2 linked regions of the Callithrix jacchus genome follow. The protein of the gene in region 2 interacts with the protein of the main gene of each other region in a biochemical or structural test. Links are inferred from orthologs where the notes say so. Each region holds a gene or a part of one and is shown on either strand. Other genes may lie near its edges. The genes, in order: MIS18A and MIS18BP1.

Region 1 (15,472 bases), on a different chromosome or scaffold from region 2:
TCTCCTACAATTTAGAGTGTCTGACTTTTCCAATACCAAATAAAGAAGCAGGTCAAAGCAAAAAAAAAAAAATACTGGCTTGTTAGAAATCATTACTTGAAAATATATTTAACCAAACAGTATTGACTTAGTTCTGAAGTTTCCGTACCAATTTCTCTGCAAACTTAACTTTCTGAAACACCAGTTGTGAGGTAAGCATTTATATAGCACACTTACCTTTCGATGGCTTCAACACTGAGGCAAAACAAGTCTCTCTTGTAATCAAGATTCTTGGGTGTGCATCTGTACACGTAGCCAAGGTTGAGTGAGCACCCCGTGCAGTACAAAGTCTCAAGGATGCTGCAATAAAGGAATGTCTTGCTTTAGGAAACAAAATAGCAACTCATTATAATAAAAATCTCATCTTTAAAATCCATAAACACTTCAGTCTCTCAAGTATGCTATTCTGACCATATCAGATCATACATATAGGAAGGGAAAAATGATAGTAAGATATTTACAATAAAAATATAAAGACAGTCATCTCTAGACCATGATGTCTTAAGTATCAAATGACAAGGGACATACAAAAAAGTGACAAGAAAAGATACTGAGGTGGTGTTTTTCTGGAATATAAATTCCTCTATCTGGTACAAGAAAAATAATCTAAAATTTGGAAATACACAAAAAGATTCTACATGTCCTTTTAATGTCATGTTGTCCAAAAAGCCCACCAAGGGGCATTAACACATTAGGCAAGGGACAGGAATTTTTGGGTAACTAAATGTAACAAAGCAGAGAATAAATATTTTAGGTGTGCCAGCCATATGGTATCTGTCACTACTCACCTCTGCCACTGTAAAACCGAAGCACCTATAGACAATACATAACTGAATAATCTGCATTCCAATAAACTCGTATTCACAAATGGGTGCCCAGTCCATGGGTCACAGTTTACCAAACTCTGCTCTAGTGGAAAGTAATACTGTTTGGCTTAATAAAAACAGACTCTCTGAAGTTAGATGACAGCCCATGTAATTGTTCCTTCATTCTCATTATCTCTCAACTCAGGTTCCACACACTTGAATATACCCTCCCATAAATCCTATTCATGTCTCCTTAAAATCTGGCTTAGAATCCAGCGTCTCTCAAATGCCTTGTTGAACTGACCCATCCAAATTTACCATTGTATAAATACACTAAAATTACCATTCCAACACATAGCAAAGTGATAACTGGAGATTTAAATACTATTGCAAAAGTATTATAACTCCTACTCAGTACGTGAAACACTTGTAATCACTAAATATCCATTCCTATCAGGCAAAACGGAGTGATTATAAACTACATCATTGTTTACTTACAGATACTAAGATACAGGCACTGTTATTTATTACAGCAACATATGGAACAAAGAACAAAATGGAGCACCACCTGATTACATCATGAATGCTCACTGATTATGTGATTAGCTAGTAATACGCCACTGATTACATATTAAGTGTCCATGGGCTTTTATAAGTTTCTATACTTTTTTTAGTTTTACAGTATAAATAGTCTCACTATGTTGCCCAAGCTGGTCTCGAACTCCTAGCCCCAAGCAATCCTTCACCTTGGCCTCCCAAAGGGCTGAGATTATAGGCATGAGCCACCATACCCAGACAGCTTGTATAAGTTTTTACATAAGAAATATAAAAGCATGCTGACAAATCCCACCTATATTACTCACAGTTAACCAGCAAACCTCCATGCTAAATATCAAACCTCATTACCATTATGAGACTGCCTCGCACCATTACCAAGATTACAAACTAATATCTAACGTAAGTGTCATCAGCCAAGAAAGGACACTTAGAGAAACCAAAGGCTTGAATTCCCCAAATAGACTGAGCCATGGATAAGACTGTTCTATCCTGAGCTATCAAAATCAACCTAAACACCACCAAAAATAGGAATGAACCCGATCATACTTCTACAACCATCTTTTAGAGCAATGAAGAGACGATAGCTACTATTAAGCCAGCATCTTTCTGCTTTCAGTTGGCAAGAATTTGGCCAGAATTCACCCTTTTCCTTGAACAATAACATTGAGAAAGCAGTGGCAACAATCTTAAGGTAATTTTAGACAAGGAATAATTTGATCGTAAGATTCTCAACAAAGGACAGAGTCATACTAAACAGAGGAAACAGCACTGCTACGTTCACGACATACTTCTAAAGCCAACAGTGCTCTTGCTGACCATCAGCAGAATAGCTCAGGCAGGTATTCCGCAGGATGGGCTTATGGAAAAATTCACAAGCATCCCAAAGCAATATGGGAGTGTGGAGCACACAACCCTAGTGAAGTCCAACACAACTGAAGGCAGCATAATCGATGGGTTTAGGTGACACAAACAAACCGTATTAATGGCTCTGAGTCAAAGAGAGTGAATTCTCTATCAATCCTGATTATAAAAAAGAAGAAAGGCTGGGCGCGGTGGCTCACGCCTGTAATCCCAGCACTTTGGGAGGCCAAGGCGGGTGGATCATGAGGTCAAGAGATCGAGACCATCCTGGTCAACATGGTGAAACCCCATCTCTACTAAAAATACAAAAAATTAGCTGGGCATGGTGGCGCGTGCCTGTAATCCCAGCTACTCAGGAGGCTGAGGCAAGAGAATTGCCTGAACCCAGGAGGCGGCAGTTGCAGTGAGCCAAGATCACGCCATTGCACTCCAGCCTGGGTAACAAGAGCGAAACTCCATCTCAATAAAAAAAAAAAAAAAAAAAGAAGGAAAAAGTCTTGGTTTGGTGCTAGACTGTCTTTGACACTTGTCTCACAGTTGCAAATCTTTTAATAGTAAGAGAACAAACTTCAGGCAGAGAACCAGCCAGGCAATAATATCTCAGCTAGAAGTAATCACATTTGTTTTCACTGTAATTATCTTCAATTGCTTTCTAGTTATGGCAAGTTATATGTTGATGATAGTAAAAAGAATCCTTTTAAAATTTAAATAAAAATTTTAAGTCGATTTAATTTTAAAAATTAAGTATGCAATAGCAGAGCTGGTAGGTAGTACACAAATAGGGCAAAAATGATGAAGGTGACATCAGAATGGCTAGAGCTGGGAAGTGGAGAAGAAAGCATTTTGAAGGAAGTCAGGAGGGATAACAAGCATCATCCTAGCTCTTCCTGCTAATTAGTCCTGTGACTTTAGCAAAGTTCTAACCTCCCTGGGCCTTACTTTCCTCAACTACAAAATGAGAAATGATCTAAGGCTGGGTTTTCTTAATTCGTATGGCCCACATGCCAGCACCACAGTTTGTCACAGCCACAAACTATCTGTACTGGTTTCGGTTTTTTTCTTTTTACTTTTATGGGAGAGATACATAGGACAAAGACTGCAGAAACGGGGACGCAGAGCTTCCAAGCCCTTTCTAGGTACACCACCCTCCTGGCATCTCATATTCACCAACCTGGAAGTTCTCTAAAACCTATGGGTTTTTTGGGTTTTATAACATAGGCAAGATTGATTAAATCATTGCTCATCATCCCTAGCCCCTCTCCCCTCCATGGAGGTAAGAGAAGAGGTTGGGGTACAGCTGAAACTTCCAACCCTCAAAAGACCCTTGGTCTTTCTGGCCCCCCATCCTGAAGCTACCTAGGAACCCCCAGCCACAGTCATCTCTTTAGGATTCAAGAGGACATTACCACCACTCCAGAGATTCTAAGCATCTTAGAAGCTTTTGCATCAGAACTGGGGCCTAAGACCAAACATGATAACAAAAAATATTATTATCACCCAATCACTTAAGAAATTAAAAGGGTTTGGGGAGCTACTAAGTTTCTGTCTCCTGCTAAATGTGTAAGTTGAAATCATAGTACCTAATGTGATGGTATTAGAAGGTGGGATCATAAGGAGGTGATCTGGTCATAACGGCATAGAGTAACTTTTTAAAAATTAAATATACTTTATTTGATAGGATACTCCAGCATACCAGTATTTTTAATATACATTAAAATACATACAAAACTAATTTTTGTTTAACTGTGTACCACCTGAAGTTATTCCATATGTGAGTATAAGATACAGTTTACATTTGGAGCAACAATTATACAGGGCAGCACGTCCCACTCAGTATACTCAGGTGTTACTATGGCACATGGGTGGCAGGTATGGCAAGATGTGTGTCCCCTCAACCCTTAGAGTAGCCACATAGGACTTTAGCTTGCTGGCGCTCCTGTGTTGTTTGGTCCTGCCTTATCTGTTTACCCCAATAGGCTATGTGTGTGTGACAGCAGCATTTTATGTGTGCTACAACATGAGAAAGGTGGGCAGCATTAGCCTAAGGCACTCTTTAACACTGAGATTTTATAATACAGGTATTTTCCCTTTTTTTTTTTGGAGACAACAGAGTCTTGCTCTGTTGCCCAGACTGGAGTGCAGTGGCACAATCTTGGCTCACTGCAACCTCCACCTCCCGGGTTCAAGCTATTCTGTCTCAGCCTCCAAAGTAGTTGGGATTACAGGCACACACCACCACACAAGGCTAATTTTTGAATTTTTAGTAGAGACAGGGTTTTGCCATGTTGGCCAGGCTGGTCTCGAACTTCTGACCTCCAGTGATATGCCCACCTCAGCCTCCCAAAGTGCTGGGATTAAAGGCATGAGCCACCATGCCGGCCTTCTTTTTCTATTTTTCTTTTCTTTTCTCTCTTTTTTTTTTTTTTGAGATGGAGTTTCGCTCTTGTTACCCAGGCTGGAGTGCAATGGCACGATCTCAGCTCTCCGCAACCTCCGCCCCCTGGGTTCAGGCAATTCTCCTGCCTCAGCCTCCTAAGTAGCTGGGATTACAGGCACGCGCCACCATGCCCAGCTAATTTTTTATATTTTTAGTAGAGACGGGGTTTCACCATGTTGACCAGGATGGTCTCAATATCTTGACCTCGTGATCCACCCGCCTCAGCCTCCCAAAGTGCTGGGATTATAGGCGTGAGCCACCACGCCCAGCTCTATTTTTATTTTCAATTTTCTTCAGCATCAAGCCCAAAGATCCAAAAAGGGAGTGTCAGAATACACTTTTATAAAACTAGAAACTCTAATTTTTCAATATCTAAGGGTGACCACAACCACTCAAGAATTGATATACTCCTTTTTGAAATGGGATATAGAAAAAGAAAAAAAAAACTGATACATGTGAATGACTGACTTTTACTATCATAAAAACTTTTATCCCAAGTAATCTTACTACTAGTAACGACCTTTTAAAGATTTTAATTAAAAAAAAAAATTCTCTAGCATACTCATATAAATACAGCTTTACTCACCAACCATTTTCCTTTTCACGTTTGGATAGCTTCTGCTCCTTATCCACGGAAACATTACAGGAAACACCTATAGAGAAAGTAATAATTTATTAATGTGGTTTGTTACAACATACATGCAAAGAGTTAGAGAATTTCTAATCCAACTTTTTAGAACTTGGAGGACAAAAAATAAGCCCAAAGTCAAACACACACACGAGTGGTTCAAAACTAAAAGTACCAGGGGTCTTCTGGGAAAAGATGGCAGAATAAGAGTTATTTCCAACCAGCCGCAGTGGCTCACACCTGTCATCCCAACAGTTAGAGAGGCCAAGGTGAGAGGATCGCTTGGGGCCAGGAGCTAGAGATCAGCCTGGACAACATAACAAGACTCCATCTCTACAAAAAAATTTTTAAAGAAAAATGTTAAAAGGTTATTTCTTTCCTTTCCCTAGAGAGAAAAATTCATTTAACAGTAAACTTGGAACCATTAGAATCTCAAATCACAGACTGCAAAGAATTATCTGCCAGATAGTGAAATTGGGTTCCAAACCTAGGAAGATGCAAACAGCCAACACATCTATCTCCAGATTTCCAACACAGGACCCATTTCTCTAAAAGTAACTGAGACGGTCCTCAGGATCACAGCCACACATCTTTTACTTGGACAATGACTTGGACAGAGGTCACAGCTGGACTCCAGAGGCAGCAGCAAACATTCTCAAAGAATCCAGGTCTAGGACACACTAAAGGACAGGGTAGAGGATGAAAAAGAAACAAAGAAGGGACATCAGACCTAAAATGACCAGAACTGACTCTTAATTTCACCTCCTCCTACAGTCTACCTTAACTTGGTAAACTCCACCTCCACCTACGTGCTTGCTGAAATCAGAAACCAGGTGTCTTCCTTGATTCTTCATCTCCTCATCCTGCTTCCCGGTATCTACTCCACTGATCATCCCATCCATTCTACCTCCCAAACCTCACTCCAGCCCCCAAACCACCAGCACCACCTCTTGCCTGGACTCCTGCTCTGGCTCTTCACTGACCTCCCCAACTCTATACTTGTTCCTCCTTCAATGTTTTCTCCAGAGAAAAAGCAGGGTCATATTACTCCCCTGCCTAAGCTAGCATCACGGTTTACTCACTAGAACAGATTACTATTCTTTAGGACAGACCTCAAGGCCCTGAACTTTCTGGCCCTTTAATTCCTCCCTAAATCTTTACTCTTTGACCATATTCTAGTCTCCGGGCTTTTGCATGAGCTGCTCAACACCTGTTAAAAGCAAACAGCATGACCTAGAATTGTACCTGTTGCCAAGCTAGCATTCACATATTAAAAACAGGAAAACATTTTCAAGCACATCAACTTGAAATTTTCTTGGCGATGTGGGGGAGAAGGGCACTAATGATGATTAGTCAAATAACTCAGGAATGAAAAAGCTATTAAGAAGCTTTCTTATGGTAAAGACTAGTGGAGTTGGGAAATAAATTTATATAAACATTATAGGATCAGGTGCTGTAGCTCACCTCTGTAATCTCAGCACTTTAGGAGGCCAAAGCAGGGGATTGCTTTGGGGCCAAGAATTTGAGATCAGCCTGAGCAGCACATCAAGACTCAGTCTCTACAAAAAATTTTAAAATTAGCCAGGTGTTGATGTCTGTAGTCCCAAGCTACTTGGAAAGCTGAGTGGGGAAGACAGTTTGAGCCCAGGAGTTCAAGGTTACAGTGAGCTATGATTGTGCCACTGTACTCCGGCCAGGGCAACAGTAGGCTGTTAATCCACTACAACCCTTAATTCACTATAACCTTGTCTATTCAAAAAAAAAAAAAAACCTATTAAATAAATAACCCTATTAAAATAGAAAGGCTGTGTTATGGCTACAAAACGCAATGTAAATGTACAGAATGTAAATATATAAACCTTGACAAAATGAAAACAATGAAACTATCAAATTGAATGGAAATGAATCCGAGTTCATTTGTCTGTCTTTACTGGGGTCGGGGGAGAGGGCAAGGTGGTGTTAAATCCCCTCTAATCTGATAAATCAAAAACGTATAGTTCTTTAAATTTTAAACTATGTTTGCTATTTTTAAACTATGTTTTAAATTTTAAAACTATTAATATAAAAATTAAATAACAAAACAATACCCTTTCTATATGTAAAGCAAAACAAAGGACGCACATGGCAAAAGACAAACACTATCAAAACAAAGTACAAATAAAATGAAAGTTGTAACACCAAATATGTTATTTCTTAAAAAGATGTAAATCAGGTAAACTCATTCAAACAAAGAGCTTCCCCTACTGGATCAAAAATGTGCACGGTTTGGTTTTAATAGGTGCAAAGAGTTAATCTCAACTTTCAGTTACCTAGTGGACACTGATGTGCTCCTTTATTCTCAGTATTACACTGAGGAAAACGTTCCAGAAACATCGATAAGACGATGGTGAGTTTTTGCCATCGAAACATTTACAGTATTCAAAGACAGGAAAAACTTCATCTTGAAAAACCACAATCCAAAAGTAACAGCCATTTTCACATCAATTCAGAAAAAATGTAAGTGAATCACTTCATCCCTAAATACTGCAAAAACAGCAAAATGAGAGAACAGTGGAAAAACAGACATAACTGCTAGAACCAGGATTAGAAACTAAATTCCCGTCTTCTTCTCTTTTGCTACATCCTCCTTCCTCGCTAATTTTGATGAGATTGCTGCGGCTTTTATTGCACGTTTCCGTCCTTTTCTTCCCCATAGCACTGTGTTATGTCAGCTCTGCGGCTCGGCATCGCTGATGCACCAACAGCCCGCTAATTCCTGTGGGGAGTCGTAGGGCTGGCTACGCCTCAAGTGCTTGCAATCTAGTTAGCCATTTGTTTCTCTCTTTTCTTAGGACCTTTCAAAAAACGTTATTCTTTGTTGCCCTTTGTTTCTGAGTCATGCTGACGACGGTGCTGATTCAACCGCTGCTCTTCTGGGATCGGGGACCACAGAAAAGAACCCGTCCCGCGAGAGCCGAAGTGGAAGAGCGACCCTCCTCCCCTCCTCCTGCGACAGCTCACACTCTCATGCTTTTTGCTCTTAAAGTCCCTGAGCAGCTCCAAGGAGCCTCCTTGTCCTCCGGGGCCCCCCAGGTGCTGCAGAGCTGGAAAAAGGCGACCCCAACCCCCCAACCCCCCACCCCCCAATCCCCAACCCTGCGCGGCCCGACCCAACTAACAGCGTAGCAGGATGCAGTTGGTGTCCTCCTGGCTGGTCACCCAGCTCAGCGAGTCGCCCAGCGGCCGCCGGCAGCTGGAGCACAGGAACACCAGCGGCCTCTCCTCCGCCGCCGCCGCCTCCTCGAGACGCGCCTTCTCCGTGTCGGCCACCGACGCGTCCTCGCTTGTGGAGCGCCACATATTCGTCCACTTCTGCAGCAGCTGGTGGCGGCTCGAGTCTTCGGAGAGCCTCTTGCTCAACAGCGAGGAGTCGCTGCACTTGCCCTTGTCGCCGTACTCACAGCTGCCGTCGCATCCTGTGCAACACCTCAGTGACGGAGCTCCCGCCATTACCTACAAATCGCCCGCGCCCCACAGCGTCAAGGGAAGAAAAAAAAAACAGAAAGGCCCCTGCGCATGCGCAGGGCAGGCCGCAGTGGCGGAGGCCGAGAAGGGGCAAATGCCTTAGGGGAGGCAGGACGGCGGGCGGTCACTGCGCTTGCGTCACGCTTTCTAGTTTGAAGAAATTGACGCTGCAGACCTGTTTGCTTGTCTTGCTAGGGATTATTCGCCCCTTTCCGTGGGAGGGGCAGCGCCACTGAGAAAAGTACAGGCTGTAAGCTTGAGTGTCTAAGAACCACTTTCCCAGACTCCGGTTCAGTTGGTAGCGGGTTAGCCCGAGAATCTGCATTTCTAACAAGTTCCTAGGCGTGCCCACGCTGTCAGTATTGGCAGCCCCACATTTTCTAGGGGGTGGGGAGCAGTACTGCTATGTTGCCGGTCTAGAACTCCTAGCCTTAAGCGAGCGTCCCGCCTCGGCCTCCCAAAGTGCCAGGATCGCAAGCGTGAGCCACTGTGCCAGACCAACACCCTTTTCTTTTTTGTAAATGGACTAATTATAGTTGTATATAAGCAGCTCCACTTTTGATGACCACTGCTCCTGGGGGCCTCCTTTCCATGAAGTGGAGAAGGCAGGGGATAGGGGGTGACCCTCATCACAGGGTCCTTTTGCACATTGTTATTCCTGGAATGAGACCCTGGGGACGGCCCCAGATCACTTAGGCTGTCACTGCAAGGAAAAAGTTGAGGAAGCAGCAGTGCCCCCTGGAAAGCCTGAAAGCGCCCCTGCTGCTTGGATCATGGAATCATTCGTCCTTGCGAGGTTCGAGAAGCATCCCTTCTTGCTGATAAGGACAGATTTCCTCAGCTGCCCGGAAAGCCAGCCTCTGCCTGAAACACCCCAGGTCAGGAGGAAAGCTGACAGGGAACCAGCCAGCGGCACCACAGACAGCCTGGCGGCATACCTGGGAAGAAAGCTACCTGTAAGGACCTACCTCTGCTCCCACTACGCTCTGGATGTTCCCCAAGTCACTGTCTACTTGCCCTAGTTGCATGAACTATTTACATAAATGTACTTCCAATTTTAGTGCTTACGGCCACTAGCAAAAAGCAAAGGCTTTGAAGTCAGTAGTCCTGGTTAACTCACCCCTCCCTCCACAAGGCAGTAATAATGTAGGGAATTTCGGAAAAGGGTGTTTGCCTTCCCTGAGTCTGATTCTTCAATACTACACCAAGTTGTTAAAGAGGATCAAGTTTTCTAATATTGATGAAAATACTTTGTTAACCCTAGCACACCATGCTCATGTTCATTAGCTTCTTACTGGAAGAAAATGCTTCAGATAGTTGAGGCTTTTTTTTTTTACCACCCATAGAATTCCCTTCCTACCCTCTGCTTTTTTCTTCTTTTCTTTATTTTTTCAGAGATAGTGTCTCACTATGTTATCTAGGCAGGTCTCGAACTCCTGGCCTCAAGCGATCCTCCTGCCTTAGCCTCCTAAGCAGCTGGTACTACAGGCATGCATCACCATACTTGGCCCCTTCTGCTTTTATGGAGCCAGGGCTGACCTTCCTGGACAGTTGTTTTCAAGTATAATATCTCTGGGACAACATTGATAAAATCCACATGAGTTTAAGTAAGTGGCTGGTTACTTTTGGGAATCAAAGGATCATCTCCTTTTCTCAGACTTTGAGTTCCTAATGTCAGTACTTAAATTCTATGATAGGATGCCCCAGGAAAGAAGGAATACAAGGCCGAGCTGCATGGTGACTTTCAGCAGCCCGAGTATTTTTGATTTGGTAGGCCCTTCCCTCCATAAAACAGTTAATAAAAATTTCATTTTATAGTTGCACTGCTATGAAGATGATATTAAAATGATATCATAAAACTTTTTTAGACCTATAGGTTCACTTTTTTCTTCTGATTAAAAAAATTGAAACATTTTCATGAGCCTTAATATCACGGTTCCTAGGCATGATGCCTCCTGCACCTCATGAAGAAGTTGGCTGATGCAAAATGAATTCCTCCATAGGCACAAGTGTGTTTGTAGGAATAATATGAATATAAAAACAAGGCTAGCCATGGTGGCTCATGCCTGTAATCCAGCACTTTGGGAGGCTGAGGCGAGAGAGTCACTTGAGCCCAGGAGTTTGAGACCAACCTGGGCAATATAGAGAGACCCTGTCTCTACAAAAATTTAAAAATTAGCCAGGCATGGTGGTGCACACCTGTAGACCCAGCTGCTTGTGAGGCTGCGGTAGGAGGATGGCTTGAGCCTGAGAGGTCGAGGCTGCAGTAAGCCGTGATCATGCTATTGCACTCCAGCCTGGGAGACAGAACGAGATCTTGTCTCAAAAAACAAAACAAAATTTCAGCTAACCACAAAATCATCATATTTATGGGGAGACAAAATGAGATGCTTGAATAAGACGATCTCGCATTTCATGGTTGAGGTTGCTTCCTGAACTACATTCTCATCCTACCTCCTAGTTATACGATGAGGAGATGTGGGGAAGGTTGAGTCCATCTCCACCGCTATCACCACCGATTCCAGGAATGGGTCCCTGGAGGTTTAACACGATCAGTCAGATGACCATGACTCTTCCTCTAGTGTCTGGGGCAGGGATGGCTACCCATGGTGCTCCAATGACAATAAGGCTTGGCTCAGAATAAAAACTTGGCCTGGTCAAGTTCAATTTTGTCCAGTCTGAGTAAGGGAATCACCCAGCCTCTGGACCCTTCCAGTTGTGTGAGCCAGTCAGTTCTAGTTATTGTGGAAGGCAGTTTCAATTGTTGTTTTGTTTTGACTAGCAACCAAAAATGTATGTAATCATCTGTTACAGTATGTTAAAATTGAAGTTTCCACTGAGACTGGAAGATGAGGTAAAAATGAGATGCCAAAGTGTGTGTGAGACAGATTGCCCTCCTTCCTGGAGGAATCTTCAGAGTAGATATAAGAGAAATGATTCCTCCTGCTTTTTCTTTTTTTTTTTTTTTTTTTTTTTGATAGAGTCTTGCTTTGTCACCCAGGCTGGAGTGCAGTGGCGGGATCTCAGTTCACTGCAACCTCCACCTCCCAGGTTCAAGCAATTCTCCTACATCAGCCTCCTGAGTAACTGGGATTATAGGCACCCACCTCCAAACCTGGCTAATTTTTGTATTTTTTATTTATTTATTTATTTATTTATTTTTTAATCCAAAATGTGTTTATTAAGATAGTTTCCCACTCATCTTGATTCAGAGTGCTTTTAGTGCTGCTTCCTCCTGAAAGAACATCCTTCTGTAAGCCTTGCTTTTCCTCCTGTAGGCTGGCAGAGGACAGTGGAGCAACCAACACACAAAACTACCGTTTGTGCATGGCTGAAGACCGTGGTGATTTTATAGCATCCTGGGCATTTCACATCCATGAAGTAGGAATTGGGGCTTTGCACTAGGCGTTTCTTCTTGTGTTTCCTCTTCTCCTCTTCTGGAGACGGATGAAGGAGATCCTTTGCTAGAGGCATGTTCTCATGCGTAGATCGTCACCGCCGGACAATTTTTGTATTTTTAATAGAGACAGGCTGGTCTCGAACTCCTCACCTCAGGTAATCCACCCACCTCAGCCTGACAAAGTGCTGGGATTACAGGCATGGACCACCGTGTCTAGCTGATTTCCTCTTCTCTTAAACCTCCTCTCACACGCTTTGGGAATATAAAGGAAAGGAGAAAATGGTGACCAAGATGACTTCACTGGAAGGATCTCTTTGGGGATGGGCTCCCCCAAAATAGAGAAGAGAGCATCTGCCTCCTTGCCTCAGTTTGGCTGACAAGAGACTTTGAGGAAGCATTTATATACCTGTTGGTTCCCAGGCCCTTGGGGACAAGGGTGACCTGCAGGTGGGTCAAGCTGCATGTGTTTTGGTAGCACAACAAAGGTGAACAAGGTAGGTTGTCAGCCAGATCTAAACTTTGCTGGCAGGAAGTCACCCGGAGTCTTAATTTCTGCCCAAGGAGCTAACCTGGAAGCACGAAGACTCCCCACTGGTGAGTCAAGAATGAACAGCACTCCTGGAGAACCAATCAGGGCAGAGGGAGAGCCGGCCTGAGGTGAGGCCTTGCCCAGTGGGTCACGGACATGCACTTGGGATTTGGGAGGTGCAGGGAGTCCCCAAAGGGGCCAGGAGAGAAGATCAGGAAGGCTGGGGTGGCCTATGTCTTACCTGGGGCAAAGGGAAAACAATTCTCATCCTGTAGTGAAGATTGCTATGTTGATTAGTATCTTAGACTGATGCTACCATTTCTTCACTGAGATTCTGCTTTCAATGAAAGTGCCTGCAGAATTGTCTGTTCCCCAAGAGGGCCTTAGAAAAACACATAGGGGAGGCACTAAAATTCTGCTAGTATGGGGAGGGTTTCTTCGCAAAGGTTTGTAGGAGAGAACCATGTAGGATGGTGCAGGAATCCGGGTTAGCAGCCCTGAAGCCAACATCACCTCTTCCTCAACCTAGAGGGATGCTGGGAGAGGTTAGCAGAAGGAAGGAGTGTTGTGAAGAGCAGAACACCTTGAGATGACCATCTTCCCTCCAGGGTCACAGCAAGCTGGGGTGGCCTCAAAAGAAGGGAGGCAGGAGACTACATTCTCTGACCTCACTCTCTTCTGTCCCACCAATTTCCTGCTGGAACTCTGAGACGTTGATCACCACCTGCAGGAGTCTGTCCTGCAAACCGTGACTCCATGATGGATGAATCAACGCACTCAAACGGTGAACAAGTGGGCTAGGGAGGTCATCAGCTGCTCTCAGAGGGCGATTGCAGCTACCTAGTCCCCCCACTAGCTCTACCTCACGTGTATTCAGTATGGATTTAACAACAAAGGCTTTGAGTAAACACATTTGTGGATAAAACATGGATAAAAGCGTAGTTCTTCCAAAGATTAAAGCTCAGGTGCCGATACCCCGAGTAAACCCCATTGATTGATAATATCACTGGTTAACACATCCCCCCCCCACCAGAGGACCATCTGGCTCAAAGATTACGCGAGTAAACAGGTAGTTAGAGACAAAAGGGTAAACAGACTTAACTGGGGAAGCTTCTGTTATCCCTAATCTTCATCCTATGACCTAATGCTCTAAGGTAAGAACCGGCTACCTTCAGCCTGTTCCATTATTCCAAGTTAAGGAAAACCTTTCGGCCTTCCAAAAGGTTTGAGACTATATCTTATAACTTCCCCTAATATTTTCCTCAATATTTTGCCAACTACCCTGAGTAAATCCCAGCAGAACTCCCTATTGCCCACGTCCAGCCGGAATCCACAGGACACAGAGCATATTGATGTAATCCATACAAGTTCACCATGGTCAAGAGCAGGGTGGAGAGTGAATAGGAAGATAGATATCCCCCACACACTGCGCTTGTGCTCATCCAGGGCCACAGGGAAGACGAGAGCAAGGTAGAGAGTGAATGGGAAGATAGATATCCCACACACACTGCCCTTGTGCTCATCCAGGGCCACAGAGAAGACCATCGTCACTGAAGAAGGTCTACGTAGCGGAAGGCAAAACGTGAGAGAGAGTTCTACTTTGATTCTGACCTGCAGTCTTTTCTTGCACAACATACGGGTTACTTGAACTACCTGATTCAACCCTAATGCTTGGCTTGATTCAGAAGCTTTAGTGTAAATTACAAACAAATGCTCATTATCTAATTTATATCAATGGCTAGCACTAGAGGGGAGAGAAGAGCAAGAAAATATAACTGGGAGAGAGAAGGAAAAAGAGGAGGAGAAACAAATGGGATCTTGATAATTTGGGAGAATTATGGCCTTTTAAGAGTGGTCTGGCAATTGAGGAAAATCAGAAATTAATGGCTACAGGCCAGGGGCAGTGGCTCACGCCTGTAATACTAGCATTTTAGAGGCCAAGGAGGGATGGATCGCCTGAGGTGAGGAGTTTGAGACCAGCCTGGCCAACATGACGAAACTCTGTCTCTACTAAAAATACAAAAATGAGCCCAGTGTGGTGGCAGGTGCCTGTAGTTCCAGCTACTCGGGAGGCTGAGGCAGGAGAATCGCTTAAACCCAGCAAGTGGAGGTCAGCTGAGATTGCACCACTGCACTGCAGCCTAGGTGAAAGAGTGAAACTTCGTCTCAAAAAAAAAAAGAAAGAAAAAAATTAATGGCTACAGAATACAAACACAGGCTATATTTTAATTTTATGTCCTTCCTTACACTAATGTGATATAATGACAGGTCACTGGAATCGGTCAGCTGGCCCCTTTGGTGCATTAAGGGTTGGCTGCAGCTGCATCTGAGGACCAGTTGATCCAATTCCTTATCTTTTATATATATATATATTTTTTGAGACAGTCTTATTCTGTCACCCAAGCTGGAGTGTAGTGGTGCGATCTCAGCTCACTGCAATTTCTGCCTTTCAGGTTCCAGTGATTCTCATGCCTCAGTCTCCCGAATAGCTGAGATTTCAGCCACATGCCACCATACCTGGATAACTTTTTGTGTTTTTGTAGAGACAGGGTCTGGCTATGTTGTCCAGGCTGGTCTGCAACTCATGCGATCCCCCTACTTCGGCCTTCCCTAGTGCTGGGATTACAGACATGAGCCACCACACCTGGCCTGATCCAGTTATTGGTAGAAATATGTCTAAGGACCAAATGGCACCCAAAACTGCCTTCCC
Region 2 (15,504 bases):
TTACCTCCTAGATCTTTGAAGCTTAAGGTTCTCAAATGTAGTTTCTTTCACACAAAAAGGCGGTGATAAAAGACTTAAAATTTGATCCCGAGAATAATTATCTTATATGTTTAATTTTAAATCTTATACTTGAAAAAACTGGTAGTGACTATGCTTTAATTAAGTATGCCACTTTGATCTCAGAAATCGTTAATATAAAGATTGTTATAACAACATGTCACAAAAAGAAATGATAAATTTCTGTATCTTTAACTCATTCTACTGAAAATGGCAAGACAATTCAGTAGTAATTCAATCAAATGCAACAAGTTATATTTATTCACTTATTTGGGAATCCAAGGTTCATGCAGACTCTCTAAAAGGTTTCTAAAACTATATATAAAATTTGTGTTTGTATTTGTGTGTATATTTTCTGGGGGAAAGGGGTCACCAAATTCTCAAAACAGGTATTTCTTACTCTCAAACGCTACCTTATTGTATTTAAACAATTTAATCTGCATTACTTCATTTGCTTCTTCCTTTTATCCTAGGCTATATGCCAAATAGATGACTTTGTGAGTCTCCCCACTTCTACCCCCAAACTCCCTTAGAAAACTATGTTGGAATATGTCACTGTCTTGGAAATTCAACAACATACCTACAACCTACTGTATAGTGGTTAAGAACATGGGCTTTCTAAGAGATAGCTATATTCAGTTCTCAGCCTATCACTTGTTACCTATGAGACATACAGCAAGCAGACTTACTCTCTCTATAAACCCCATTTACAGACTTCTAATGGGTGTTTGTTGAAAGGATTAAAAGAGATAATAAGCCCAGGCTTGGTGGCTCATGCCTGTAATCCCAGCACTCTGGGAAGCAATAGCAGGCAGATCACCTGAGGTCAGGAGTTCGAGACCAGCCTGACCAACATGGAAAAAACCATCTCTACTAAAAATACAAAATTAGTCAGGCATGGTGGTGCATGCCTGTAATCCCAGCTGCTCAGGAATGCTGAGGCAGGAGACACGCTTGTATCTCGGCGGCAGAGGTTGCGGTGAGCCGAGATCATGCCATTGCATTCCAGCCTGGGCAACAAAACTGAAACTCCATCTCAAAAAAGAGAGAGATAATACATGTAAAATACCTTTCATTATCAATGACTGAAACTCAGTAAAATCTCGATTTCAACTGTTATAGTGTCTATCTTTCCAGATAATTCTCTCAAATCCAGTGACTATCCAAACAAAACGTTTACTTCTTCACAATCCCTCATCTCCTTCAGATCCTTTGCCCTCATTGATCAACTTAAATTTCACCATGACTCCTTCACATACACCCTTAACTCCTCTGTCCTCTGTCACTTTATTCTATTTGGCAAAATTACAACCCAGTTAAATCCAATTCCCTCCCTATTCTATACCAGCACCTTAGCAGCTACACAGGGTTAAAGGAAAACTCATAGCCATATTTAGTGGTTCCAGTTTAAATTCATGTCCATATATCTTAAACAGCTCTTCTGTGTTACCCAGGAAATCAAATTTAGGCCTCTTCCAAACTATTCAAACCTCTACCTCCTCAAACTGCTTTCCACATTCGCTCAGCTGATGACTTTACTTCTTATTTCAGATTATTTGTGAAGTCATACAATAATGACCCACCAAAGTCTGTGTAAACGGCTTTCTTTTCTGTTAACAATTGGTCTGCTGTGTTCTGGTCAAACCTCTAATGATGCATTAGATGATATTTCCTCTCAATCAATTACTAAAGGGCATCATACTAGCAATTTCAATTTTTTTCTTCCTACCTCATTATTCCCAACAGCATACAAAAATGCTGCATTTCACCAAGTATTAAAAATGATAAAACTTTAAACTACACTTGCCATTATTTCTTTGCCCCCCTCAAAAAGACCTGTCTATGTTCACTACTGCCAATTCCTCTTGTCATGTTCTCTCCTGAACCCTTTCAAATGTTTTCATTGCTATCATTCCTCCAAAACCACCCTTAAAAAGTCAACAACGACTTCCTATTGCTGAATCGACCAGTAGAATCTCAGCCTACTTGACCAATTAGAAGCAGTAGACAGCTGACAACTCCCAACTTAAAGTACTTCGTTCTCTTGGCTTTCACTGTATCACTCTCCTGGTATTCTCAGTGGCCTTTCTACTCTTTTTTTTTTGTTTGTTTGTTTTCCCCTTAGAGCTCTGCTCTTGTTGCCCAGGCTGGAATGCAATAGCACGATCTCGGCTCACTACAACCTCCGCCTGCCAGATTCAAGATTCTCCTGCCTCAGCCTCCTGAGTAGCTGGGATTACAGGCATGTACCACCACGCCTGGCTAATTTTGTATTTTTAGTAGAGAAAGGGTTTCTCCATGTTGGTCTGGCTGGTCTCCAACTCTCAACCTCAGGTCATCTGCCCGCCTCGGCCTTCCAAAGTGCTGGGATTACAGGCGTGAGCCACAACACTCAGTTGGCCTTTCTACTCTATTCTACCTTGTAAAGCTGGAGTACCCAAGGGTGCAGGTCTTGAATGTTTTTTCTTTCTACACTTACTCCTTGATGACTTCATCTAATCTCATTGCTTTTGAAATACCATTTAGGTGCTAGAAATTCCCAAATGTACTTTTGTCGCCTTAATCATTTCCTTATATTCCCATTAGTTTTTTCCAACACCCTAATTATACCTAAACTTAGATCTTTAATAGACATTATCAAAATTAACATGACAAAAATCTTAACTATTGAGCCCGCACTTCATTCCTCCTTCAGTCTGTCCCATTTCAGTTAAATCATCTTCTTGGTTGCTTAGGCCACAATCAAATAACAAAACAAAAAACACCCTGAGCTGTCCTTTATATCTTTTTGTCTTATATTCTACACCCAATCTATGAGCTAATCCTATTGGCTATCCCTTCAAAACACAGCCAGAGTCCAGCCACCTAGTATCTTCACTACTAACACATGAACCAAGCCAACACTGGCTGTCATCTGGCTTACTGTAGTAACTATTTCAGAACAGCCAGAGTGGTATTTTAAAAACTTAAGTCATTGTACTCAATGGTTAATCAACAAACCAAAAAAAACCCTCATAATTCAGATCTTGTCATTCACATGCTCAAAACCCTCCAATGCCTTATTCTGCTCACAGTAAAAGGCAAAACTCTTATATTTACCTATAAGGCCCTTACATTATCTGACCCACCCTTATTTCTCCCTCCTCAGCTCTATCTAATCACTCCATGATACACTAACTTCTTAGCTAGTCATTCAACATGTCAGGCATGCTCCTATTTCAAGGCGTTTATAACAGCTGTTACCTGCCTAGATCATCCTTCCCCATTCCTCAAGATACGTATATCTATTATCTCATTCAATTTTGTGGGCTCAAATTTCCATCTTCTTATTGAAGCTTCACTGACCACTTCACTGAAAATTACATCCCCCTCCAACTCTTCCCCAGCATCCTAATTCTCCTTTTTCTTCTTTTTCTTTTCTATTATGCCATAAAAAATTACTTGTTTAATATGTTCATTATGTCTTCCCACCACATGAATGTGAGTTACACAAAGGCAAGGATTTTTGTCCATTTTACTCACAGCTATATTCTAGCACCTAAAACAGTGTCTGACACATTAAACACTTAAGACATTACAGCTTTTTAGCTAACACATAAAACTAACCTCTTAGTGAACTGTTATCTGACTGGAATAATTTGTTGTTTTCCTTTTCTTCACAGAGGTAGGTATGCTGCAGTAGATTTTTGCCAACTCTGTTAGGAGTGAAGGTTTCACTACTTCCACTTTTCTGTGGTTCCAACAAACTATTGTTTCTTGATGGCTGTTCTTGCTTGTCATGCAGTACTTTTTCTTTCATTCTTTGAAATATTTTTCCTGGTGATTCATAGTTTGCTTTATTTTTTAATCCATCCTTGTTGGGCTTTATAACACTGATATCAAGAGAACTGTTAGAGATGGCAGCCTCTGCCAGCATGGTTGATTGAAATATATTTTTATTGTTAAAAGTTGTCATTTCTAGGAACTGATTCTTTTTATGGTCATTCAACTTTAAAGAGGAGTTCTGATATTTCACCAAATCTTTTACAGGAGTAAGTGTGCCTGAAGGTATGCTGTCAAAAAAGATTGCATCCATGGGTAGATCTTTCCTTTGAGACGATGTCTCTGAAGGTAAGTAAATTCTTGGATGTTTCACAGGTGTTGCAATCATCTTGACAGGACAGTAGCAAGCAAGTTCTTCTAACAGAAAATTCACTTCAGCACAATTTTCAGACAGAACTTCAGCAGCGATCCACAGAAACCTGTAGTTCAATGTAAAATCAGCCTTTATCATGCTTAGATGCAGAAAAGGTTTAAAGTTTATATGCTTTCCACAACACTATATTAATTAAAATGTTAAACTGGTTCATAACAATGCTAGATAATCTATAGCTCACAAATCAGACTAAGATTTTATTTTTGTTAAAGTCTACTTAAAAAAAGAGCTGGGTTGGGGCCGCAGTGGCTCTGGCCAGATGTCCTGGTGCTTGAGGAGGTGAGGCCATGAGTTCAAGGCCAACCTGAGCAACGTTACAAGCTCTCATTGATTAACAAACAAATAAAAAAAGAGCTGGGTGTGATGGTGCACACGCCTGCAGTCCTAGCTACTTGGGAGGCTGAGCAGAGAGGATCACTTGAGCCTAGGAAGTCAAGGCTGCAGTGAGCCATGATTGTGCCACTGTACTCCAGCCTGGGTGACAAAGAAAGACCCTGTCTCAAAAAAAAAATAATAAATAAATGATACATGCACATGGCAATACATTAGGTTACAAAAGATAAAGTTTTACAAATATAATTTTTCTCTTTAGACACTTAAATTTTAAGGCAGCAACTACAATGATCTATTCTAATAAAAGCTAAAAAAAAAAAAACTATTCAATTATTTAATAATACCCAATCCTGATTTTTTATGCTCTAGAGCATTTACATTTTAAAGTCTTAGTTGAAAAATCCTCAAATGGTAGATTATTTTCATTCTGATTTTTGTAATACTATTTAAAATTTTTAGCAGAAACATTGTACTTAAGTTTACACAGTTTTAGCCTTGCTTTAACTTGTTTCTTATGTATAAGTTTTATTATTCACACCTGGAAATTAAGGTTCTAGGCGAGGAACCATACAGTTACATTAACTAATATTTGGTAAATAAATATTTCAGTCCAAGGATCCTGGAACTTACTAGTCTAGATTTACAGCATCTCTTACTGCTGAATTTATAACTATTCCAATTAGTTAATATCATATAAACATAAAAAAACCTATGACAGAAAATTCTAACATAGCCAGACAAAAGATATCAATTATCTTTATCTACAGGAACATCTGTAAGAAATAAGCAATTAATATAAAAAGTATTATCTAATCCAATAATTTATGTTAATAGAGAAAAAAAAGGAAAATATTCCTATATTATAACAGCCAACAAAGAGGGGTATCTTTGAAGTCTGGAGCTCTAAAAACTGCTATAATTCTTCCACATAATATGAATACTGCAAATACGTATTAATGCATGCATGTATATGTTTACTATGTGCTAGTTCCATGAGTTCTTGTGCTGGATGTTATATTAACCATTCGCTTCATTTCTGTTTTGTTTTTGAGACAGTGTCTCTTTCACCCAGGCTGGAGTGCAATGATGTGATCAGGGATCCTTGCAACCTCGAAATCCAGGGCTCAATCAAGTCTCTTACCTCAGCCTCCAGAGTAGCTGGGACCATAGGCGCACATCACCACAGCCAGCTAATTTTTGTAGTAGTGTGTGCCTCTGCACCTGAGCTATGTTTTGTTTTTGTTTTTTGAGAGGGAGTCTCACTCTGTTGCCCGGGCTGGAGTAAAATGGCTCAATCTCGGCTCACCGCAACCTCCACCTCACGAGTTCAAGCAATTCTCCTGTCTCAGCCTCCTGAGTAGCTGGGATCACAGGCGCACATCACCACACCCAGTTATTTTTTGTATTTTTAGTTAGAGATGGGTTTTCACCATATTGGTCAGGGGGAGTCTCTAACTCCTGACCTCGGGTGATCCACTTGCCTCGGACTCCCAAATTGCTGGGATTATAGGCGGGATTACAGCCTGTTGCCCAGACTGGTCTCGAACTCCTGGCTCAAGTGATTCTCCTGACTTGGCCTTCCACAAGTGCTGGAAGGAGTGAACCACCATGTCCGGCTTAGCTGTTCATTTCAAAGAAAGACAATAAAGCTGTATAATCACTCAAAATCACAAATGAATAAACTCGGCTGGTTGTGGTGGCGCACACCTGTAATCCCATCACTTTGGGAGGACAAGACAGGAGGATCACTTGAGGTTAGGAGTTCAAGACCAGGCTGACCAACACGGCAAAACTCTATCTCTACTAAAAATACAAAAATTAGCCAGGTGTGGTGGCACATGCCTGTAGTCACAGCTACTCAGGAGGCTGAATCAGAAGAATCACTTGATTCTGGGAGGCGGAGGTTGCAGTGAGCTGAGATCACACCACTGCACTCCAGCCTGGGCAACAAAGTGAGGCTCCATCTCAAAAAATAAAATAAATAAATAAATAAAATAAACTGGAAAACTGCAAAGCAAAATGGCAAAGAATGTTCAGGTTTACACAGTCTCAATTCCTCAGAGCCTAATGAAATGCTAAGCAGAAAGTAAAAACTGCAAATAAGCTAAGAGCACTGAAAACAGATCCAATCTGTAATGGACATGTAGAAGTGTATCCATTTAAAGGCAGATAATAGTGGTCACATAGAAAGGCTCAAAGAACCAGCACAAAGATTTCTGTTGCCTAACATCTTTGCCCCCAATTCACGCAAGTAGTAGGATAAAGATTGGGTAGCCAAGATTCTGAAAAGCCTTCAAATTCCACTTCCCCTCCCAAAGATGCAGAAAGTTGCTCTAAGATACCTTTTTCCCACCATGTGATAAATAGCAACTCAATGTAAGTCAAAAAAAAAAAAAAAAAAGCAGCCAATATTTGCCAGGGGTTTGTTAAAGACAGAATAAAGAGAAAAAAAATAGTCTACAATTTCCACTGACCACAGAGGCTTTGCAGAGTAAATAAATTAAAAAAAAAAAAACACTGGGTCTAGATAAACCAAGACAGATCTGAAGCTCCATTTCCTTCCTAGTTAAAAGAACAAAATAAATCAGCCTCTGATGAAACACAGACATTAGTGGAGACTAAATAACTGGTATCCCTCAAGTGAAGGAAAGAATAGTTTGTCCTGAAGCCAACCAAGCACATTTGTTGACCTGACAGACGGAGGTCACTCATTGTCAGTTCCCTCTAAGACTGGATAAAGTATGTTTCTCTTTTCATCAACTGCTTAAAGTTGTTTGGAAAATCTAATCCTTAAAACTTATTCTAAAAGCTGACAAATGCTGATGTACTAGGAAAAAAAAAATGTTTTCAACATGAAGACAAAGGAATGGGAAAACCATGTAGGAAAGGGCTGGCCATAGCATTTATAGTACAGTCATGTACTGCATAATGATGTCAGATCACACATATGGAGGTCCCATAGGATACCTTATTTTTACTGAACCTTTTCTATATTTTGATATGTTTAGATACACAAATACTTATCACCATGTTACAACTGCCAACAATATTCAGTAAAGTAACATGCTGTGTTACAGGTTTGGCGCCTAGGAGCAATAGAATATAACATATAGCCTGGGTTTTTATAAGTACACTCTATGATACAGGCACAGTGACAAAAATCACCTGAATGTATTTCTCAGAACATATCCCAGGCAGTTATAAGTGACACATATAAACACAGAACTGAAGCTAAACAATTGTTATGTATATGATCCTGAATATAACTACTCCTCCTCCTCCTCCCAAAAGATGGAACGTTCTTGTAAGAATTTACTGTATTGGTAACAATAGTAATAGCTATTACTATGAAGGGGTCAAAAACCCCAGAGCACACTAACCAAAACTGGGAGACAGAATTCGGCATAAAAATAGAATTTTAGGGGTCCAAAGTGGCTCCCGCCGGAGGTCGTGGTGCTTGCGAAGGCGAATTCATCAGTTCAAAGCTAACCTGAGCAACCTTATAAGCTCAAACTGATTGGCAAAAAAAAAAAAAAAAAATAGAATTTTAAGTTAAGAGGTAAATGATACACTTGAAATAAGTACTCAGCACCTATGACAAAGGATTAATTTACATAACATTCAGAGACCTACTGAATCAATTAAAAAAAAAATGTTCAAAACAGAAAATGGTCACAGGACATGAAAGACAATTAATAGAAGAAATAGAAAAGGTCAATAAACAAGTAACACCTGATTTTACTAATAAACGGAGATGCAAACTGTAACAGTGAGACTTCTTTTACATATCATATTGGTAAAGATTAATTTCAAAATGCAAGTCTGTATGCCACTGACACGGAAATTCCACTTCTAACTTGTTTTTTTCTTACAGAAACACCTACATAAGAATGCAAATATATATGCATCATAATAGCCGATATTCACTGAATATTGACATGCCAGTCACTATATAATCTAACAGCAACTCTAAAGAGTTAAGTACTGTGGTTATTCCCAGTTTGAAAAGAGAGAAATTAAGGTATAGGTGGTTAAATAACCCGACCAAGGTTTACTTAACAGTAAGTGAGAAAGATGATCTAATTCTACCTCCAAAGTCTAAGTTCTTTACCAACAGGCAACATAGCGTACACAACCACTACACAGGGAAGTTCATGCTGCAGTACCTGCACCATAAAATGAAATTAAACAACCCAGATGTCCACCAATAAAGGACAAAATAAATTCCGCCACATCCATACAATTTACTCCATGTATTCAACAAAAAGATATATATGTACTTACATGGAAAAAATCCAAGAAATATTAAATTGAAAAAATGTAGCAGAACAGAACATATAATTGCATTTCTGTAAAAATAAATAAATAAATGAAACACATATAAGCATAGAGAAAAACTCTGGAAGCAAGTGAACCAAATTGTGAACAGTATTATCTCTGAAGGACAGGGTGAGGTGACCTATCATTTTTTTGAACTCCTGACTTTAAATGATCCACCTGCCTCGGCCTCCCAAAGTGCTGGGATTACAGGTGTGAGCCACCGCGCCGGACCATTTTCTAAGTAATTTTATTAATATCTAAAGCTGTGTTTTAGAAGAAAACATAAACTGAATGGATGAACTTCTTCTGTAGCCCTGGGTCCCCAAGGGGAAGAGTTGGGTACTAGGGCACACAATTTTCCTACTTGGTATTCTTTTTTTTTTTAAGTGACTTTAGAACAAAGACCTAGAACGCTCACCATAGAAATAAATGTGAGCAATCGTGTTCTACTCTGCAGTAGACACGCAACAAATAAACATCGAGTGCGCAGCTGTAAAATCAGTACCAAAGCTAGAAATCTACGAAAATTAATAATAAAACGGCGTGGGCCGAGGTGCTGAAAGGACAGGCCGCCCACCACCGGCGGGGACTCGCGACGGGAGGCGAGCGAAGGACGCGAGGAGGACGTACCTTGGGTGAAGGGCCTGGTAGGGCGAGACTGTGGTAGTGCAGGCTTGGCTCCGCGCGGAGGGAGGGCCGGACGCCGCGGGGCTCTCGTCTCAGGCCCACGGTGGCCCCTGCCCGCGACGGCCGGGCCCCAAGCGACGCTTACCTACTCCGCGAGGTTCTCTAACACCCACAACACTTCCGCAATTCAAATTTGAAAAGCCCGCCCTCCAGTCAGCCTGGGATTGGTAGGGTCGGAATTGCGCCACCGTGCGTCTTACTGGGACGCAGGCAAATTTCTGGCTGCCTCCGCACTCGTGGACCGTAGTGTTTCCACAAAAAGTAGGCGACCATAAGCTGTCACAGACAGGGGCGAGCTAATTCGTTTCGTCTTCGCAGCGCACGCGCCCAACTTGAATGCCCTCATTCCTCAGGTGATGCTCTGTCGCTGCAAGGCTGACGTCGGAGACGCCGCAAGCCGCGCGCGCGCTGCTGCGGTGAAGTTTGGCCCTTTCTAGCTGCCGTCCTCCCCTACGGGCTGTGCGCAGTAAAGGCTGCTATCCCTCCCTTCTATCGCCGGAAATCTGCGTGCTCCGTGGGTTTGAGAGAACTTATGTTTTTCTCAGTCCTCCATGTTTGAGGCGGATAAAGAACATTTTGTTTTTGAGGGAATGATGGATTGAATGTAAAGTTACGCACAAAGTGGGATGTTTAGTTTGAACGGTTTCCACAAGAAGTGTGATTTGTGGGGGTGGGGGTGGGGTGTGGGGGACAGGGTCTCTCTGTGTCGCCCAGGCCTGAGTGCATTAGTGCAATAATGGTTCTACTGCAGCCTGAAACTCCAAGGGATCTTCCCACCTCAGCCTCCCAGTATCTTTAACTACAGGCGCGCGCGACGAGGTTTCGCTGATTTTAATTTTTTTTTTGTAGAGAGCAGGTCTCACCATGTTGCCCAGGCTAGTCTCGAACTCGTGGGTTCAAGCGATCTTCCCATCTCGGCCTCCCAGAGTGCTGGGATTACACAGGCAAGCAACTGCACCGTGCCAGGAAGTGATTAAAAAGATTTTTTTTAATCACCTCTCATTCTAGAAACATTAATCTTGACAACTCTAGGTTGCAGTATGCAGTTTCTAACAGTGGCTTCCAGGCTGCGTCCCTCGTTAGACTGCGCCCAATGAATCTGCACTCTTAACCACCGCAGGTGTATCTTTTGCCTTGTATAGAACTCGTTGGTTCAGTCTTGAAAGTAGAGAAGTGGAAGCCAGGGTAATAAGGCGTGTTTTCAGCCCCAAATTCTGTCCGCTTCCAATCCTGCATGAAATGTGCCCTCTTCCACCGCTCATCCGCATTTGTGACAAGTGAGTTTCTTTTTATTTTATCGTTCATCTAAGAAAATTGGTCAGCTTCCTGGTCATATATCACATTTTCCTGTTAAGACTTAGAGTCCTATACTGAAAAGATTGTAATGGATTAATTTTTTTAAAGTGACTTGCAATCCCTCCTAAGTCGTCCTATATCTACACCGAATAATCAGAATCCAAAATATAAGTATAAAACATCCACATGACTGCAAGTAATGAAAAACAACAGTTGGAGGTAGGGGAAAGGAAGCAAATTTACTTGAATAAAATGAAGTTTCTTGCTTGTACATCATAATGAGAAAATGGTTGGACATGGATTTCCACTAGGTTTGTGGGAAAAGCCCGCCTTAAAACAGGTTAAATGGCGTGTATGAAATATACTTTGATAGAGGAAGTTTGAAGGGATTGGCATTCCGATTTCAAAAGCATCTGAAATTGAGGTTTCTGTGCCCGATGAAGATGGTCGTGGCTCACACCTTTAGACAAAATAGGAACCCTGAAATATTAATGGCAGGCACTTAGAAATGCACATTTTTAAAAATTAGTCACTTCTCATGTGAGAAGGAAGTAGCATATATTATGCTCCAACATGAATGGTCACAGGAATTTACATAAGATGACTAATAATTTTCCAAGCAAAACTGAATTAAACAGTTTGTGGATAGCAAAGTGTGATGAGGAGGCCTAGTGGCCAAGGGAAAGTGTTCATCTGTCCATTAATGTCAACATGCTGTAACTGCCCAAGGGGTTCACCTTGCCTGCTGCCTACACAGAGCTGATTCATCAAGAGAAGGTAATTGCCATAGAGAAAGAGTAACATGCAGAGCTGGCTGTGTGGGAGACTAGTTTCATTATTACTAAAATCAGTCTCCCTTGAGCATTATGGGATCAGTTTTTAAGGATAACTTAGTGGGTGGTGGGGAGCAAGTGAACTAGAGTGCTGATTAGTCAGGGATGAAATCATAGGATGTGGAAGCTGTGTTCTTGCTCAGTCAGTTCCTGGGTTTCGGGGTGGGAGGTCACAAGATTAAATGAGCCAGTTTATTGCTCTGGGTGGTGTCAGCTGATCCCTTAAGTGCTGGGTCTGCAAAATATCTCAAGCACTGATCTTAGGAGCAGATTAGGGAGGGTCAGAATCTTGTAACCTCCAGCTGCAAACCATAATTTCTGATATTGTGACTAATGTTAGTTCTACAAAGGCAATCTAGTCTCCAGGCAAGAAGGAGATCTCCTTTGGGAAAGGGTTGTTACCGTCTTTGTTTAAACTATAAACTACAAACTTAAGTTTCTCCCAAAGTTACTTCAGCGTGGAGGTTAGAAGCAAGATGGAGTCGGTTAAGTTAGATCTCTTTCACCGTCTCAGTCATAATTTTGCAAAGGTGGTTTCAATGTTGCCCTGGGTTGGTCCTCCTTTAAGTTTCTGTCTGCTTGGAGGGGAGACTATAATGAGAAGATGATTGGATGTGGTTTTGCAGTTCACAGTCAGCCACTTGGGATAATCTGTCCCATCCTAGGCCTGTAACACATGGAAACACATGCAGACCCATGTCGGGTCTAAAAAAAATGAAGGTAAAAGAGACTGAAAGTTTCACACTGTGTGCCAGTTCCTACCAAGGAATCTGGGCCTGCTTAGCCTGGAGGAATATTCCCAGGACTGTGATAAGTTCTAGCAGGACTACTAACTGACCGTATGACACTTTTGGAGAAAGTAGGAAAATGCTGTTTCATCAAAGCTAAAGGTTCTCAAGCAGGAACAGTTTTTCCCCCCTGGGGACAATTGGCAATGCCTGGAGACATTTATAAATGTCACAATTAGGGAGAGTACCGGTGGCAAGGACAGATAATACTACCAAACATCATAATGTTCACAGGACAGCCCCCCACCACTACAAAGGATTAACTATTTTAAAATGTCAGTAGTGCCATGGTTGAGAAATTCTGCTCTTGGCAGATGTAGCCCTGAAACAGGATTTCAGCCCCCTCTTACTCTCTTAGCAGGATGCCTTTATGGAAGGCACAAAGTAAAACCATTACTCCCCTGTACAGGCTACAGGAGGGAGGCAATGAGGAAGTTATCCAGGTTTTGTGAGAGGAGGACCCTTCAGTAAAAAAGGCAGCTGAGGAAATTGCTATGTGATGGAGGCAATATATAAACTCATATCATATTACAAATTGTGATAAGAGCTATAAGGTTATATCAGTTTGCATTACCCCGGAAGCTAATGCCAAGTTGGAAGTAGGATTTTGGGAAGTATATCTTGTGAAATACTAAAGGGAAGGAAGAAGAATTGGACCTGGTAAATCTTCAGATCTTGATACAGATCTGACATTTGTAAAAGGAAAGATTGATGCAAGTGGAATTGGGTAGGGGCAGTCTAAGATTGCAATAGAGATTTGACAGAGTCTTGGCTAACCCAATAGGAAGAGAAGTCCTGCAGTGGGCAGACAAGGCCAGGCCCTGGTATCTGCCAGGGTGGAGGCTGCCTGGGAAGATGGTTTTAGCACAAAGGCTTTAACAGATGTCAAAGGCTTTGCAGCCAGAGGCTGTTAGTTAACTTGTAAGTCCTTTCTCCTTTGATGCTTTTCCCAACAAACTGCACTCCTCACAGCTCAGTGACTTTTTTTTTAAACGAAAGATCAGAGTTGCACGCTTCCATGCCTGTCACAGAAGAATAATTAAAAGAGTGTAGCAGTAAGATTTTATTTTCAGGCACTTTCCATTTTTTTTGTTGCAATCCACAATAAAAAATATTGTACATTATAACCTAATAATTATACAAAACTACACTTAACTAAAACAAAAGCTTTAAAAGCATTATACTTAACATTACTCTATGCAGTGCATGCTATTATTTTCTGTTTCCTCTTTAAAAAAAGAACTGCCTGTGGTATGCAATTGTAATACAGTATGAATATTTTCATGTTTCTGCATGGTCAGGGCTTTTAATTTTTAAAAAATCCTAAGGTCAAATTCTCTTAAAGTAACCATTTTAAAGTGTACAATTCAGTGACATTTAGTGCATTCACAATATTCTACAACCATCACCTGTAAAACATTTTTTATCATCCTAAAAGGAAATCCCATAACTCTTAAGCACTCTCTCTTCTCCCCTTCCCACAGTATTGAATCATACAATATTACAATATGGACCTTTAATGTCTAGCTTCCTTCACAGTTTTTTTTTCCTGAGGTTTATATACCTAAAAAATTATACATTGTAGATCAGAACTTTATTCCTTTTTATGGCTGAATATATTCCATATTGTGTGTATACCACATTTTATTTACCTGTTCCTCCATTGACATTTGGGTTGTTTCCACCTAAATCTATAATAACCGCATTTGAAATTATACCAACTTAGTTTCAATAGCATACAGAAACTCTGCTCCTAAGCAGCTGAGTCCTCTCCTTTATGTTTCTTTTATTACCAATTACATCTATATACATTGTGTGTCTATTAACATAGATTTGTAATTATTTTATGCACTTGTCTTTGTTCTTTTTTTTTTGAGATGGAGTTTTGCTCTTCTTACCCAGGCTGGAGTGCAATGGCGTGATCTCGGCTCACTGCAACCTCTGCCTCCTGGGTTCAGGCAATTCTCCTGCCTCAGCTTCCTGAGTAGCTGGGATTACAGTCACACGCCACCATGTCCAGCTAATTTTTTGTATTTTTAGTAGAGACGGGGTTTCACCATGTTGACCAGGATGGTCTCGATCTCTTGACCTCATGATCCACCCTCCTCGGCCTCCCAAAGTGCTGGGATTACAGGCTTGAGCCACCGCACCTGGCAACATAGATTTGTAATTATTTTATGCACTTGCCTTTTAAATCATATAAACAAAGAGAAACTACACACCAAAAACATATCAGTCCTGGCTTTTGTATTTAAAGATGTAGTTATATCTATCTAATGTCTTGATTTCTTCTTATAGCTTTGAGTTGCTGTTTAGTTTTCTTTTATTTAAGTCTGAAGAACTCCTTTTAGTATTTCTTATAGTAAAGGTCTACTTGTGACAGACTTCTTCAGCTTTTATTTACATGCTAATATATTAATTTCTCTGTTGTTTTTGAAGGACAGTTTAATGAATATACAATTCTTGGTAGATAGTCTTTTTCTTTCAGCATTTTGAATATGTTATCCCACTGCCTTCTTGCCTACATAGTTTCTGATGAGAAATCAGATGTGCTTATGATTGAGAATCACTTGTATGTGACAAATCATTTCTCTCACTGCTTTTAAGATTCTTTTATTTGTCTTTGTCTTTTGACAATTTGATTATTATGTGTCTCAGTGTGGAACTGTTTTATCTTTATTGGAGTTTGTTGAGATTCTTGGGTTCTTCCAAAATCTGGGATGTTTTTGGTTATTTATTCAACATTTTTTCCCACTGTTTTATTTTTCCTCTCCTTCTGGGACTCTTGTAATATGTATGGTGATACTCTCGATTATTCCCATAGATTTTTAAAGACTCCAGTAATTATTCTTTATTTTATTTTACTTTTGTTTAAGACAGAGTCTGGCTCTGTCACTCAGGCTAACAGGCACAATTATGGCTGGCTCACTGCATACCTGAACTCCTGGGCTCAAGAGGTCTTCCCACTTCAGCCTTCCAAGTAGCTCAAACTACA

Evidence for each region.
Region 1: the proteins of MIS18BP1 (region 2) and MIS18A form a complex in vitro, tested with the Homo sapiens proteins (2 studies listed by BioGRID). The link is inferred for Callithrix jacchus from reciprocal best matches to the Homo sapiens genes MIS18BP1 and MIS18A.

What each region holds. Positions count from the first base shown.
Region 1 is NC_133522.1:38,415,810-38,431,281, forward strand, and holds the start of MIS18A (protein Mis18-alpha), read right to left. Parts: upstream 8,844-15,472; 5' UTR 8,819-8,843; coding exon 8,488-8,818; intron 5,355-8,487; coding exon 5,288-5,354; intron 340-5,287; coding exon 217-339; intron 1-216. Other genes in the region: small ribosomal subunit protein eS27, read right to left, coding at 12,053-12,307. UniProt on the Homo sapiens protein: Required for recruitment of CENPA to centromeres and normal chromosome segregation during mitosis.
Region 2 is NC_133509.1:79,844,494-79,859,997, forward strand, and holds the start of MIS18BP1 (mis18-binding protein 1), read right to left. Parts: upstream 9,722-15,504; 5' UTR 9,536-9,721; intron 8,935-9,535; 5' UTR 8,923-8,934; coding exon 8,870-8,922; intron 4,299-8,869; coding exon 3,664-4,298; intron 1-3,663. UniProt on the Homo sapiens protein: Required for recruitment of CENPA to centromeres and normal chromosome segregation during mitosis.